Linked DNA regions of Struthio camelus. The protein of the gene in region 2 binds, or shares a complex with, the protein of the main gene of each other region. Links are inferred from orthologs where the notes say so. Each region holds a gene or a part of one and is shown on either strand. Other genes may lie near its edges.

The links. The genes of interacting proteins can lie anywhere in the genome.
Region 1: the proteins of KCNJ4 (region 2) and TAX1BP3 are in contact, whole or in part, in a crystal structure (PDB 3GJ9), measured with the Homo sapiens proteins. The link is inferred for Struthio camelus from reciprocal best matches to the Homo sapiens genes KCNJ4 and TAX1BP3. Residues at the interface, in NP_004972.1 of Homo sapiens: Arg440, Arg441, Glu442, Ser443, Ala444, Ile445; in NP_055419.1 of Homo sapiens: Leu27, Ile28, Leu29, Gly30, Phe31, Ser32, Ile33, Gly34, Gly35, Asp38, Gln39, Gln43, Asn44, Thr58, Arg59, His90, Asp91, Arg94, Leu97, Thr98.

Annotation. Positions count from the first base shown.
Region 1 is NC_090957.1:17,790,604-17,797,766, reverse strand, and holds the start of TAX1BP3 (tax1-binding protein 3), read right to left. Parts: upstream 3,030-7,163; 5' UTR 2,903-3,029; coding exon 2,864-2,902; intron 1,294-2,863; coding exon 1,174-1,293; intron 870-1,173; coding exon 792-869; intron 401-791; coding exon 263-400; 3' UTR 1-262. Other genes in the region: EMC6 (ER membrane protein complex subunit 6), read left to right, coding at 3,437-3,766. UniProt on the Homo sapiens protein: May regulate a number of protein-protein interactions by competing for PDZ domain binding sites. Binds CTNNB1 and may thereby act as an inhibitor of the Wnt signaling pathway. Competes with LIN7A for KCNJ4 binding, and thereby promotes KCNJ4 internalization.
Region 2 is NC_090942.1:58,352,471-58,360,236, reverse strand, and holds the start of KCNJ4 (inward rectifier potassium channel 4), read right to left. Parts: upstream 3,025-7,766; 5' UTR 2,215-3,024; intron 1,996-2,214; 5' UTR 288-1,995; coding exon 238-287; intron 1-237. Other genes in the region: KDELR3 (ER lumen protein-retaining receptor 3), read left to right, coding at 7,408-7,498. UniProt on the Homo sapiens protein: Inward rectifier potassium channels are characterized by a greater tendency to allow potassium to flow into the cell rather than out of it.

The DNA of each region.
Region 1 (7,163 bases), on a different chromosome or scaffold from region 2:
CCACTTTGTCCTGTCCTCCTGAAAACCATGACTACTCTAGGGTCTTACCATGTACCTGCAGGGAAGACTTTAGAGAAGCACTCTGCTTAGAGGACTAGAGTTTTACTACTGTCAATTACACCAGAAAAAGAAAAATAGTGTTTACCACAGGTCGGAACATGCACTCCTTCCAGACAGCCTGCTCAGGTCTAGTATTTGCTTCCTTGCTTGATATCCAGTCTATATCTCTCCCTCCCCAACCCTTCCCCAACCTCATGATTGATTAGGACATCATTGATTGTTGCACAGCCTTCTGCAGAGATTGCCTGGTCACCAGGAGCCGTACCACCTCTTCATTTCTTTTGGTCAGCCTCTTCCTGGCTTGGTCATGAGTTACCATTGTCATATCCCAGCCATTCACCTAGAAAAAGAACATAACATGCTTCAGTAGTCACAGGCAGAGCAAGTCTTGACAAAGCAGGGTAAGACTGACACATAGGGGCAAGGCCTTAGGCTGCCCCATCTCTGGTGGCTTCCCTTAGGCCATCTAAGCCTAGCAGCTCTTCTCAAAATCCAGCCAACGGAAACAAAACAAATCAGAGGCATGTGCATGGACTCACAAGAGTCCAATTACCTTTTCCACTACATAGTTCTGTAAGAGCACTTAACTGACGTGTGGCATAACCCCCACAAAATGCCCTGGAAAGTACCTAGAAGACGGTACTTCCCCCAGCATAAACTTCTCTGCAGTGCACACCTGGGTGCTGCATAGCTGGGTACTGAATTAGTACTTGTCTTATGTTGGTGTTTACCTGCATGATCTTATCTCCGATCTGGAGCCCTGCAACTTCTGCTGGGCCTCCTTCTGTCACCCTCGTTACATAAATACCCTGGAAAAAAAAATTAAGTGTTCATTTACTACATATGGAAGTACTGAATACTCAAACAGCCACTTTACTGACAATGAAAAAACACTTTGTAGTCTACTACAGGATTCTAGTTAAAAACAGGCTTGTGCGATGCTGGAAAGTAGAAAAGTCGCACAAGAGCTAACTTCAACGCGAGCCTGTCTGCAGATGATTACATGTCAATGGAATAACTTGTCAGCCATGTGAGATGACAGAATACAGATGCACATGAGTATGCGCAGCATTTTGCAGAGATAGTTGCTACTGAAAGCAAAGAGCATCTGACCTTGTCAGTCTTATCTTCAGAGAAAGGATTCTGAGTAGGGTCCTGGTCGATGCCACCTCCAATGCTGAATCCTAGAATCAAATTGTCACCTTGACGAAGCTTATGTATTTCAATTCTTTGCTAAAAAGAAAAGAGAATAACTGAGCATTGTGATCACTGGAAGTGATCTTAAGTCTGTTTCAGAAACAGATGCATATAAGCCAGTTAGATATTTATTTCACGCAGATGCTATAAACCTCAGTTAACTTTACTAGAAAAGGCTGTATCACAGCCTTGGTTAGAACAAGAACCACCTATCTATTCTGCATGCATTGTAAGCAGGCAAACAAGCTCTAAAACGCCTTGGCAGAAAAAGCTATTACACAGTATTTGTTGTCTACCAGTGACACATAACCTTGGTGCTGGCCGCACCAATTGGCTCTAAACTGTTCTCAGCCGTACCACAAAACGGCGTGGCAGAAAAGCATCGGCAAGCTCATCCCGAGGGTACTCATGCCGCTACACAGCCAAGCTTCTAACCTAGCCAGCGCTTTACCGCTGCACTGAAAACAAGGGGCAAGGCATTAAAAACTGAGAGCAGGTCTCCCTGAACGTGAATCAAAGTTTGCTAACCAGCAGTCATTCATATCTAGATTCATCTTGCTTTTTGTTTAAGTGCCTCGTGTTCCTGTGTAGCCCTGTCAATGGAAATATTAGTCTATTACAATGGTTCTTCTTAGGTTCTCAACCCTTTTTTGTAATTTGAAGGTAAGCAAGTTCCTTGCTAACTGAAGAACAGAGGCATCTGACAAACTCTACAGATTACTGAAGTACTGTATAACTGCCAGCTTGCAGGAATTTCTGAGTCAAGATAAAGAGCCAGGATCTTTAACTGAAACAACACCCACTCAGAAGGCGCTTCTCAAACCTCTGCCTCAGTCAGGAGCTGAGCTCTCTGCGGGCAGAAGGCTCAGGATCTCACTAGGAGACGAGCTGCTTTGCTAAACCAAGACAGCTGACGCGTCCTCAGGGATGTCGGCTCTTCCACCGCTAAAAGCGGTGCAGCATATTCCAGCTAGGTCAACAGTCAAACCACCTGAAAGGCCACTTAAGTTAACTTAGTATTTTAATTAGCGAAAGAAACAATACAGCAACCCTTGCTTGCGTTCTGTTTTTTGATTAAGCACTTTAACATAATTTTTAAAAGCTCTGCTTCATAAAATTCAAGTATACAAGGCAGGTCCTTGTCCGGTCTGTATCACGCAGTTGCACGTAGCAGAGGGCACTGAACAAAGCACCCAGCCAGCCGCTCCCGCCACATTACCACAGAAACAACGCAGGGAGTAAACCAGGTCTTGCGGAAAACACCCTGCACTGCAAAAGAGAGCAGGCTTCGCTCAGAGACGCTCGCGTTACCCAGTTACAGCAGGGTGCAACAACTACTTAGGCCTTAACGCGAGTACCAAAAGCCGCACGAGAGACGCTCAGGGCTTTCAAGCGGGTCTGTCACGCAGCGCTGCCAAAGGCTGCCGTGGGCCAAGCGGCTCCGCAGCAGAAGCGCCTGGGCCCAAGTCAGCAGACAGGCGCTCATGGCTCCGGGGGGCAGCCGGGAGCAGCCCCGGCCCGGCCCCGCCCGCGGCGGCCCGAGGAGGAGCCGATTCCCGGTCCCGCGGGGTCCCCGCAGCAGCCCCGCCGCCGCCCCCTGGCTCACCACCACGGCGGTGACCGGCTGCCCCGGCACGTACGACATGGCCCCGCCGCCGCCGCCGCCGCCCGAACAAAGCGCCTCGCCCTCCGCCGCCGCCGCCCCGCGCCGCCAGCCAATGGGGCGCCGCCGCCTCGCCGGCCGCTGACGCGCAGCGCCGGAAGCCAGGCCGCTCTCCCGGCGGCCCCCGCGCCAAGATGCCTGACAGGAGCTTCCGGCGGGGTGGCGAGAGGCTCGGCGGCGGCGGTAGGTCGGCGCGGCGCGGCGGGGGCGGCCGGGGCCGGCAGGGCGAGGGCGGCCGGGACTGACGGGCGGCGCGCGCGGTGTCCCCCGGCAGGGTGCGAGGCGTGACGGCTGGGCCCGGCCGCGGGTGCCGCGGAGCAGCTCGCCGCCGTGGATGAGAGGTACGAGCCGGGCCGGGGCCGGGGCCGGGGGGGGAGATGGCGGCGGGGCCTCGTTACCGGGGGCGGCGGCGGGTTGAGGAGGGGGGACGGGAGCGCCGCCGCCGCCGCCCAGCGCGCGTGTGCTCTGCCGCAGGCTCGCCGGGAGCGAGGCGATCCCCGGAGCCGGCGGGCGGCCATGGCCGCGGCGGCTAAGCGCGAGGGGCCGCAGTTCATCAGCGAGGCGGCGGTGCGCGGCAACGCGGCGCTGCTGGACTACTGCCGCACCTCGGTGTCGGCCCTGTCGGGCGCCACGGCCGGCATCCTCGGCCTCACCGGCCTGCACGGCTTCGTCTTCTACTTCCTGGCCTCCGTGCTCCTCTCCGTGCTGCTGGTGCTGAAGGCCGGGCGGCGATGGAACAAGTACTTCAAGTCCCGGCGGCCGCTCTTCACCGGGGGGCTCGTAGGGGGGCTCTTCACCTACGTCCTCTTCTGGACTTTCCTCTACGGCATGGTCCACGTCTACTGAAGCGGCGAGGAGCCGCCTCAGCCGCAGTGTTTTTTGTTTCTCTCAATGAGGCAGGAGGACTGTTGCCAAAAAAGTCGTCGACACCACTAGGCCAGCTTACCTTGTAAACCGTTGTTCGTTGCTTGTATTGTTAATGACGTCAGTAAATTATGTCCGAGCACAAATGAAGCGGTAGCACTGTTCTAATTAAACGCAATGTGAAACATCACTTGGACGTCTCCTATGAATACTCGTGCGGTGGTTGAGGGAGGCCTTTTGTCCTTCGTTGCAGTCACGTCCATGGATTTTGCCCGCCTTAGTCCTTGTATCCCCTGCATTTTACAATTAGAAACACCAGTCATCTTCCCTTGTGGTTTTGCAGCTTGCGTCCGCTTACGAAGACTGATGGAAGTAGCATATAACACGTGACCCTAAAAATAATCCACTGACACAGGGAAACAGTTCACAGTAGTATGTAATTAAGTGCACGTAAAGGTTTGGTACAGAAGTATATGAGTGCAAATGTTATCTTTCACAGTTGCTATATGTACACTCTAAAAATAAATGACATTTTCACATGTACTCTTCACTGGCATAAACAAAAGTCAGTACATAATACTCTCAGAAGTCCAGCACTTTGCTCTGTTCTGAATACCATTGTGCCCGATGAAACAGAGGCAACCAAATGAAAAATACAGCATCTGATTAACTGCTCCCTCAGCCTGTGCTGAACATGCCTGTAAGACAGCATTTTCTCCAACCGAACCATATATTACTGTGGTTCCATATATTTCTGGTGGGAACTGAAAGGAAAAATTAAGCACCTATCATACACATAATCTCTCTTTGCTGTAGAGGTGATCCTGCAAACAGTGTTTGATCAGTAGGTTAAAATGAAAGGCTCCAAACTCTTGCACAGGGTCAGTGTTTTGTCATACACTTTCCTCTACGAGCACATGTTGCTCCATCTGGTTCTCTGAATCAGTCGTTGCTTCACCAGAACCTTGTTTAAGATATTCCCTGTTTACGGTATACAAAGTTATTTTTACAACATAAGGTACTGCATTTAAAAATACTTTACTGAGAAGTCAGCTTCTAGTGAAATACAGGGTTATACAAAAGTTAGATTTGAAACTATAAACATTGCCTCAGTCATGTTACCCGTGGTCTTTTGGGGGAAAAAGATGGTAAAGTTTTTAATTCCCTCATTAGCATACTTTGCCAGATTCATGCTGTCATCAGAGAAGAATTGGCACTTGTTACCCATTAATGGGTATCTTTTATACATTTGTACTATTCAAATACTTTCTAGACTCTTAATTAATTGTTTAGTATAAATATGTATCACCAGAGGAAACTAGGATTTACATGGGTAAGAAGCTACCTAAAGAACGTGACTTAGAGAGGATACTTGGACAGCATTGCCCTGAAGTGACAAATTTTATTGCTGTACATAAAATTCAAGAAAAAAAAATCAAACTCAAGAAGGAAAGAAGCTTCTGATAAGGAATCTGGCTGTTATGTTTTATAAAAAAACAATAGTTATGGAAATTCTGTTAAACAGAGGGTGTAAGGTAGGGAAATGCTCGAGGGAACGTGGGCAGGGGCTGAAGCCCCTGAAGATTTCAGTCAGGAAAGCTTAGGTTGTCCAACTAGAGGATGTTGTTTTGTCAAGTGGAAGCATTGGTTTCAGAACAAGGTCAGCTCTATGCGTTACGATGAGCTATCTGGTCTCCAGGTATTGCACCTTGGCCTAATGGGACATGTGTTCACCATGCATTTCACCATCTAGAAGTCATTTAAATAGAATTAAACTGACAGTAAAAAAAAAAAAAAACACTGTGCTGTTTTATTGGTATGGTAATTCTCATAGGCCCAACTAGTGCAGTCAGTTACATGCACATTGATTCATGGTTGCCTAGAGGAGAGACTTTCAGAGTGAAGATGCTTTGGTTGTGATTATAGCATCGGAGGTACGCAGCTTATCCTAAATTATTTTAAGTGCAATGATTAATTCTATTTTCTAGCTAAATGTTTGACTGGTTAATAAGTAATTGCATCTGAACAGAAACAGGAAGAGAGCGGTGGACCAGATTGTGCGCAATTTGCTCTTGGTGACTTGGATTCAGAGTTTGCCACTGTTAAACAAAGGCAAATTTTAATTTAGAAGCAAACCGTTCCTTGGAGTAGCCACTTGAAAGAAGTTAAAGCAGAGGTGAGTGTGGCTCTTTTTTCTGTTTGTATCCATACATAGAGACCGTGCAGCAACAGGAGTCCTTTAATCTTGATACCCAAGGAGCGAACTGAAATACCTGGGAGTCTTTATCATGACTCCTAATTGATGGCGACCTTTACAGAACATTTAAACAGTTTGCACTCTGGTGCAGAGGCTTTACGTGAAACGATTAGTATTTCAAAAAGACAGAAGTATTCACCTATTCAATATTCATTCTTCAGGAGCTGGTGAGTCAATTCCTGTCAGCTCCAGGAAATGCAAACTCTAAAAGTAAACAATGTTGTTCTGTAAGCGTTTTCTCCTCTTAGAGTAGTTACATCCCCACATGAGCCTAAATTCACAAAATGGGCTGCAATGAGACTGTGCAATTGAGAAATGAAAAAGCACTCGTAATTCTTCAAAGCGTTTAGATAGTGGAGCTATGACTTCTAAAGTTTTTTCCTGTTGGTACATTTAGAAGAACCAAGGAAAGTTTGTTTTAACCAATAGAGCTCCGCTTTGCAACTTCTGCAGAAGGAAGAGATACAGGGCGAAGTGACCAAGCAGCTATGAAACATGGCAGAAGCATAAAGACCTCAGTCAAGATCTCTTCCCCCCCCCCCCCCCATAAATTGTAAGTGATGCAGAAAGGATAATCCTGTGCCAACATCAACAAATGAAATCAACCACGAAACAAAGAATGGAGAACCTAAAATCATCTCCATGCCAATACTGTCAGTGCTGTGTTGCTTTTCAGCGTGCTAAACCCCTTTCCCTCCACTGTCAACTACAAAAACATCTGACCCTGCCCTGCTTCAAAATATTCTTCTGCCTGCTGATACCTTTTCCGTACTCCAAAATGTTGGTTCTCTGGTCCAATTATGAGTGGAAAACCTGGGCAGCAGATGAGGTAGCTGGGACCCAGACAGGGCTAAAACTGATCTTCCATTCAAAGTTGTGGCATACTCATTCTCCTCTTGTCCCACCACTCCTAAGAGCGATGAGCAGAGCACCTTGTTGCAGCTGTTTTAAGGGCTTTTCCTGAAGGAGCAGTTTTTCTAGCCCTCATGGTTACACAAACACAGCGTTGCCCCCTGAAACGTGCCTAGTCAGCATGAGCACTGTAGGATAATGAGCCCCATTTCCCTGGGCTCTGTGGGCTGCTGAAATACTGCATTTTGCTGCACTTCCTGACACGAGCAG
Region 2 (7,766 bases):
GTGTGTTTCTGCCCCTTCGCACACACGCACTTCGTTTTCTATATTTACATATGCAATGCACACAGTCAACTTTGTTATTCACTGGCACTCACATGAAGCCACGCATATCTCACTAAGTTATATTTATAGCTGTTCCTCAGAGCTAGCGCAGATGAAACAATGCATTATTTTCAGAGGAAAAACCTTCCCATTATCATGCCACGAACGGGAGTAGCGCTAACCAGCACCATCTCTTACCCAGGTCCTGCCGATAGCTGCTCCCTGCTTGAGCTGTGGAGAGCCAACATCAGAGGAAGGGAAAAGCGGGTGATTTCTCCATCTCACCATGAAATGCCTCAGCTCGCCTGGACTGAAGGAATCTGGGAGGTCTCTCTTCAGCCCTCTCTCGCCTCTTTTCTTTCAAGTAGCTACTTCCTCCCCGTGACTTGCTCTTCTCCTAACTCTCCCCTGTTCATGCCAGTGCTCTTCTCCTTCCTCTTCCTCTGCCTCTGCCTCTCTTCAGCATTTTTTGCTCTCAGGAGTTTCCATCCCACGGAGCTCTGATTTGTGGCTGCAGCTTGGTGATGAGTTCTGGTCTCTCCCTTCTGCCTGTTTCTCTCCTTCCCTTTCTTTATTTATCCTTGCCTGCTCTATCCCCCTTCTCTATTTCACAAATTTCTGTGCCGTCTCTACCGGTCTCCCTTCCACTCTTCCTCTCTTTTTCCTCCCGCTCTCTTCCTCTGGCTCTCTCTCCCCCTCTCTGATTGCTATGCAGTCTGTAGCTAAGAAGTCAGTAACTCTGTGGTAGGATCCAACAGCTTTCCGCTACTTTAGCCCATCCTCGCGTGTGATCTCAGAGCCATGGATACACGCTGCAGAGCTGCAATGGGGGAGAGGAGAGTGCAACCGAAAGCAGGGGGAAGCGGCCAGCCCGTAGGAAGCCCCTGGGGAGGCAGGAACTGGCCGCCGGTCTGTTACAAGAGGCTTAAATAGCCATGGCCAGGATTTTTTCCACCTGGCTCCAGAGTGCTGAGCTCAGACCTCGCTCTGAGAAAGGACCAAATTCTCCATCTAAGTCCCCAGCTCTTGCATAGCATTTGCTGGAGGTCTCGGGACATCACCGCAGGTTTCCTGGGCCCCTGAGGCACAAGCGGCTCCCACCTCCCAGCACCTATGGCCAGGCCTTTCTGCTTGGCAACGCCGCTGGCTGTCCTGCCTGGGACAAGCATCATGCTTGGGATGGAAACGGTGGGATGGAGCAACCAGCCAGAGGGGCCCCCAGTTCCTGCCCTCCCCCCTCGGTGTATTTTATGTTGCAGCTCAATGGAGAACTGCTACAAGGCCACCCTTGCAGAGATGCCGAAGCCCCAGAGAGGCGCCAGACATAGAGCCTGCCATCTTCCCCAAGCCATCTACTCATGTGCGTTGGGAGGCGATAGGCTCGCAAGGCCTGCTGCATACATCCAAGCCACTTTCTTCGCCGAGCATCAGCCCTAGGAGCTGTAGCATCACTGTGGAGCTCGTTCAGGGCCTCCAGAGATGCCACACGATGGCTCCGCCACAAATTTTTTCCTGGACATTTCCCCCTGGAGCTTCACTCCCTGCAACATCTCAGGGGCTTTGAAGAGGTCTCTTCTTCAAGGCAAAGGGTGGCAGCGTGGGAGAGGGAGACGCAGGCGGCTTCCTTACGCCAGTGCCAAGTAGTGAAGTTGTCCCTTTAATTTTGGAGGGAAGCCGGAGACTGTAAGTAGGCTGTGACATTGCAGCCACCAGCTACGCGCACGACCTTCCTAAGAACAGCCTTGCACCAGGCCAGCGGTGGCGGCTGGACGTGTTTTCCATCTCAGTGTCTCATCTACCATCCCCAGCGTTAAGACACCAGCGCAAGCCAAATTCTGGTGCCTTCGAAACGAAGCTCTCATTGATCCTTCCTGGAGAGCCACAGGGGAGCCAGCTGTGTCTCCACAGCCTGCGGAGAGCCAAGCTGTCGTCAGGAGACCTCAGCTCGCTGAAAATCTAGAGGGGTCAAAAAAGATCGAAAACCACTGTTTTGATTGTCCCGTGGGTCACTGTCCTGCAGAGATCACACCCTCCCCCCTCCCAAAATCATCCCGCGACCTCCCAGCGCGTGGGATGCAGCCTCGCACAACACGCCGCGGGGACCACCGCCCCCCCAACGCCGCTCGCCCGCGCGCCTCGCCGAGCATCGCCGCAGCGAGCGCAGCCTGCACTTACCTGGGAGAGTAACATCAGGAGAACAGTGTATTTTTAGCATCTCTCAGCACAGATTAGCAGCTGCAAATGGGGAGAGCAGCCAGCATCCTGCCAGCAGCCAGCTCGCCCCAGCCCACCTGCAGCTGCTCCGCAAAGCGCCGCTCGCAAAGCGCCCGAGCAGGAGAGGTCCCGGCAAGCACAGGGGCTGCAGGAAGCGGTGCCGGGCCTTCAGCGGGGGCAGCGCTCCCCCACGGGCCCTTCGGGGTCAATCCCTAGGGCAGGAGGGAAATTTCAGGGCAGCGTGGGAAGCCCCCTGGGACGCCTCGGGCGGGAGGGCACGCGAGGAACAAGTCATGAGACTTGTGTCGTGCACCGGGGGTCCGGTTTCCTTCCCGGTGACTTTATCAGCGAGAGCGCTGCTCACTCTTGCCTCATGCTGACGCCGACGTGGAGAGCAAGCGCGGGTGCCCCGGCCCCTTCCCGGGCTATGCCAAAGCCCCCTCGTGCGACCTGGGGCAAATGGCTGCCTCTCCCGCCGGTGCCACCGAGAGCCTCCTGCCCCGGCTCCGGGATGAGCAAAGCCACGAGGCGCTCGGGGCCTCCAAGCAGCTGCTTAACTTTCATTTTGTTTTTCACCGTCGATCCCTTTCTCTTCTTGTCGCTTGACGCTCCGCATCACTCCGAAACCTCTGCACAGCCGGTCTGGCTGGGAAGGACACTCGAAGCGGGACCGAGACAGGCGGCGCCAGCTGTTGGTTCCCTTCGTCTTTCCGACCGGAGGCCCGCTAGCTGCGCCTCCCGCGCCGCCCAGCGCCCTTCCCGCCGGGCCCGGCACGGCAGACGAGCCGCAGCGCAGCGGGGGCCGCCGGACGGGACCTGGCGGACGTCATCTCCGGGAAGCGGCCCTGCCCTGGCCGCCCCGTCCCCGCACGTGTCCCCCCCGCTCCCCAGGCCGGCCGTGGCCCCGGCCGCCACGGGGCCCGCCGGCCCCGGCAGTGGGGTGGCTCACACTCCCCACCCCCGCCCGTCTCCACCGGCACCGGCTTTAATAAGCAGCGTGGAATATTTTAGCACCTATGGAAAAGCCACCACAGACGGTGGTGGCAGCCGTTGCCAGGGAGACGCTCCCAAAAATAGCCCCACTCCGCCAACCTTTCCCGATGCTGCTGTGGGGATGGGGGAGGCGGAGGGATTGGGGCTGGGGCGGGGGGACGACGCAGGAGCTGCCGGCAAGGCGCACGAGCTCCCGACCCCTCTGTCCCCCGGGGGCTGCCCATGGTCCCCACGTGGCCTGGAGGTGCCTCGAGCTACGGCCCCGAGTGGGAATGGAGGGGGACTCCCGGCCAAGCAGCTGCCCGGGGCAAAAGCCTTGCTGGTGGCAGAAGACATATGCTTTAGCAAGAAGGAAACCTCCCCTTTTCCCCTCCTTCTCCTGGCAAAACAGCTGGGATCAGGGCAGGGCCTGAGAGGGAAAGTTCGGCCCTCGAAGAAGTTGCTGCTCCCTCGCCCAGGGGCTCTCCGGGAGCGTGAGTCCCCCAAACCTGCAAATGGAGAGGGGGAAAAACGAAAATAGAATTTAAAAAAAAAAAAAGAAGAAGAATCCAAATTCCAGTTTTTAATGCCAAATCCCAGCTCCCTCTCCTCCCTGTCACCCTGGCGACATTCCTTGCAGTCGCCATGGAAACGGGAGGCATGGAGAGAGCATCACCGAGCACGGCAGTGGCAGCGCCCGGCATTATTTCGGGAGGCAGGGAGACACCCGGTGCGAGGCGCTTTATGTTGTGGCAGGGAAGGAGGTGGGGAGGAGGGAAGGTTTATTTTTACTTGTTCCCTCTTCGTGTACCAGTTTTTCTTCTTTAAAGCACTCGGTAGCCCGATGCCTCTCATCCTCCCGGCGGCCTTTGCAGGCCCCCCGCTCTGTGGCCTGCAGGGTGGCAGGGGTTTGCATGGTGCATGGGGACATCCTGCAGGGAGACCCCGACTCCACCACCACCTCCCAGCCGGGGCTGGGGGCGCTGTCTTCCCCTCCTCTGTGTTTTCCCTTCGCTTGCTCTGGCTCTAGCGAGCTCTCAGGGACGCTCAGCCGGGCTGCTCGCACGAAAACCCTCTGACCATCACCTCACCTGGCAGTAGCCGCGACCACAGTAGAAAATAAACCCAGGGCTTGGGACTCAGCTGCTCTGCTTGAGTCCTGTGAAGGCACAAGGTAAAGAGAATAAACCTTCGCCACTGGCAAGAGTCTTACCTCGTCACTGCTGACTACAGGCAAGCTTCACCCTGTGGGTGAAGATGTGAAGAGCACCAGGGCAACAAAAGGGCTCCTAAAACCAGCGAGAAGAGTTTGTTGAGGGAAACCCAGCAAGAAGGGGCTCAGGATGAGGCTAGAAAGGGCACCCCAAGGAAATGGAGCAAGGCCCGCGGAGCGATTCCTGCCCCATTGCCCGTACCCACCACCAGCTTATTCACAGCCACCATCTGCTGTCCTCAGCATAGAGACCGTTATGGCTACGCTGCCGGCCTAAGGCAGCTCTCCGCCGGAGCCACCGCAGCCGATTGCCACTGTGCTAAGGCCCCACCTGCGCCACGCAGTGCTTTTCCTGGCCAGCTCCCTCCGAAGGCAGCGAGAGCCTTTACCTGGCAAATTCCTGCTGAAATCCAGAATTACTCTGCTCCTGTGGCTGGAAACCTGATTTCAGCCTAGGTCACTGCCACTTCATACCCGGTTGTTTCTTTGCAATGTTGTCCTTTAGTCTAAACAACTCTTCTCCTGCTCTGCTATTTTGGGCCCGGACGTACTTGCAGGCTGCAGGCAGGGGCCCCTCTCTGTGTTTCGCTGGGCTAAGCAAGTGTTTTCTAGCCAAACCTGGAAACTCGGGCTGGAAAAGCCCAGTACGCCAGGTGTTGTAGAGGCAAAAAGGGAAAACACGGCAGCCAGCCTAATGGGCAAGGAGGAAATGTATGCAAATGTATTCAGAAAGGAATCTGGTTAACGTTAATAGACTTGTTAGTCCTCTTAGTAAGCACCAGGAATAATATTTTTACACTTTAATCATTAAGGATTTTACTCCAGACTGAGCCCATGAGGACCTGCTAAAGGAAGAAGAACCGAAGGAAACTGCTGCAGGGGAAGCCTGGGGACAGAGCGGTCAGCAGCCGAAACTGGCTGCCGGACAAGAGCAGCATGGGTCACGTAACCACGGAGGAGCAAAATTAGACTAACAGCCGGATACGATTTGCTTGCGGACAAGGTGACAAATTAAACCATCCATTTGTCATGGTTGTATTAAAGGAGCTTTATAGTAGCAATTAGATAATAAAAAGGGCCCTGTAGTGTTCTCCTACTGCTGAGCCCATCTCTATGCTGAGGTCCTCGTCCCCCTGCCGGCACAGTGAGACCCTTCGTTCTTTGCAGCTTCACCTCTGACGCAAGAACAAGATTTATCTCAAATAGATTGGTCGCCCTTTACTGTTCCTGAATATATGAAAACTCTGTAACAATGTCACTGCTAATATCCTTTCCTTGTTGTTAAATCTATAAAAATGGTAGCACATGTGTATTTCTTTCACACAATATGTGCCTTCCTTGTTTTTCAATCCACTTGCAGGAGCCCATATTTTCAGTGAAGGTTATGTAAAAGTAGCCTTTGGGAGAACTTTTTTTCCTCTGGAGCTGGGCTCTTGGAGCCTCTTGGTTTCCAGCTCACGTCCATGAGCCAACACACAAGCCACGTTCCCTCCTCCCTCTCTCCGGAGCTTGGCTGTCCATGGCTGAGGCCGTCCCCAGGCTCTTTTCCAGCTGCTTCACCACGAATCCACATTTCTTTTGGAGGAACAACCAGAATCAGGCGCACCGCTCTGGACGAGGACACCCAAAGGCCGTGTGCAGCGTCGTGTGTCCTCAGCAGGGGCACTTGCTGAAGAGACATAACTGCCCAGACTGAGAGCTATTTAGCTCAGTGTCCAGCCCCCAAGAGCGGTCAGTGAGGGAAGCGGCTAAGGCCCAGAGCAGCATATGTCAGTATTTGGTGATAGGCACGCCCCCCCCCCCCCCCAGCCCCCAGGAAGAAGCCAGCAAAGAAGCCAGGAAGTGCCCTAAAACATTCAGGTAGATGAAGGTCCCTGGGGCAGCAGGGATGACGGCACAGAGCAGGGGAGGGCTGCAGTGTTTTGGCACTCGAGGGAGGGAGAGGCGACAACCCTCTGCCGGGTCCAGGCAGACCCAAGAGGGCTGGAGGCACGGTCGCAAGAGAAAATCACGCAAGCCCAAGACATTCAAATCGAATCTCTTCCCACCCCCTTCCTTCGATCTACGAGACGGAGCGGAGCGGAGGGGAGGGGAGCTCTGGGGGAATGCCAGGTAGTTTTTCCTAATAGCAATTTCTGTTAGGCTGAAGGATCACTGCCCAGAAAGTGCTAGAGTGAACACGGGGCTGTGCAAAGCCCTAGAAAGCAGGCTGCAGAGCACAAGCCTGGCCAGCTCGGAGCAAAACGGGGATTAATGTGTCCAAAGGGACCATCGGCGTCCCTCGAAAGCCTGACACTCAGAGGACTGAGTCCTGACCCCTACCCCAGCCCCAGACGATGGATAATCATTTCCGTTTGCCTTTCCCCCTTTAAGGACACTTCCGTGTGTAATTTGAGACAAGTAGGGGAAAAAAGAGGAAGGGGGGAAAAAAAAAGAAAAAGGAAAAATAGCGCAGTTATTCCTGCCTCCTCCTCCTTTCTCTCCTCCCCGGACAGCCAGGAGCCACGTCACCCAGTGCTGGCTTTGGGATTGCTGAGCAGACTTAGTCTGGGTCCTTCTTGGGGATAAAACCCAACTTTGGGAGATCAGCCTGGAGGGGGGAGAGCTGGCACTGCAGGCAGAGAAAACCCTCGGGGGCAAACTGGTTCTGGTGGAGAAAAAAATCTACCTTGAGGTAAATTTAAAGCAAGGGAGGAAGTTCACCCTGGAAGGGAAAGTCGTGCAGGGAGAACGGGTATTTTTTAATGGAGGGAGTCTGAATTTTCCTCCGCCAGAAGAAAGGACTCCATACACAGATTAAAAAGAAAGTTCACTTGGAAGAGAGCAGCTACTTGATCAAGGCTAGGGGAAAAACTCACTGCCGAGTTTTACTCAGTAGCAACCTTTTGGGGAAGCCCTGGAGGCTGCCCTACTCCCGTCCACCTGTGCCAACACCCTGCTTGCTTTGCCTCTGAGGAGCCCACGTAGCAATGAACGTCTTCCGGATCCTGGGAGATGTCTCCCACTTGCTGGCTATTATCATCCTGCTGCTTAAGATCCAGAAGTCTAAGTCCTGCGCCGGTGAGTTTTCTCCACCCGCTTCCACATCCTTTTCTTTGCTCGCTGGGGAAGGAGGGGTCCCTTCTCGGAAGGCAACTGTGTGAGGGGTCCGAGGGAGAAGGCCATGGAGATGAGGTGTCTGGGCAGAAGGAGGTGAAATCAGGCCTGCTCAGGCTAGCGATAGCCTGTGCAAGCTGTCATCCCTCCTGGCCTGGGTCCTTGGAGATAATTAAGCTTCCTTCTCCTTGCTTTCGATCCTAGATCCTGCTCGTCTTCTTGTCCATCTTTC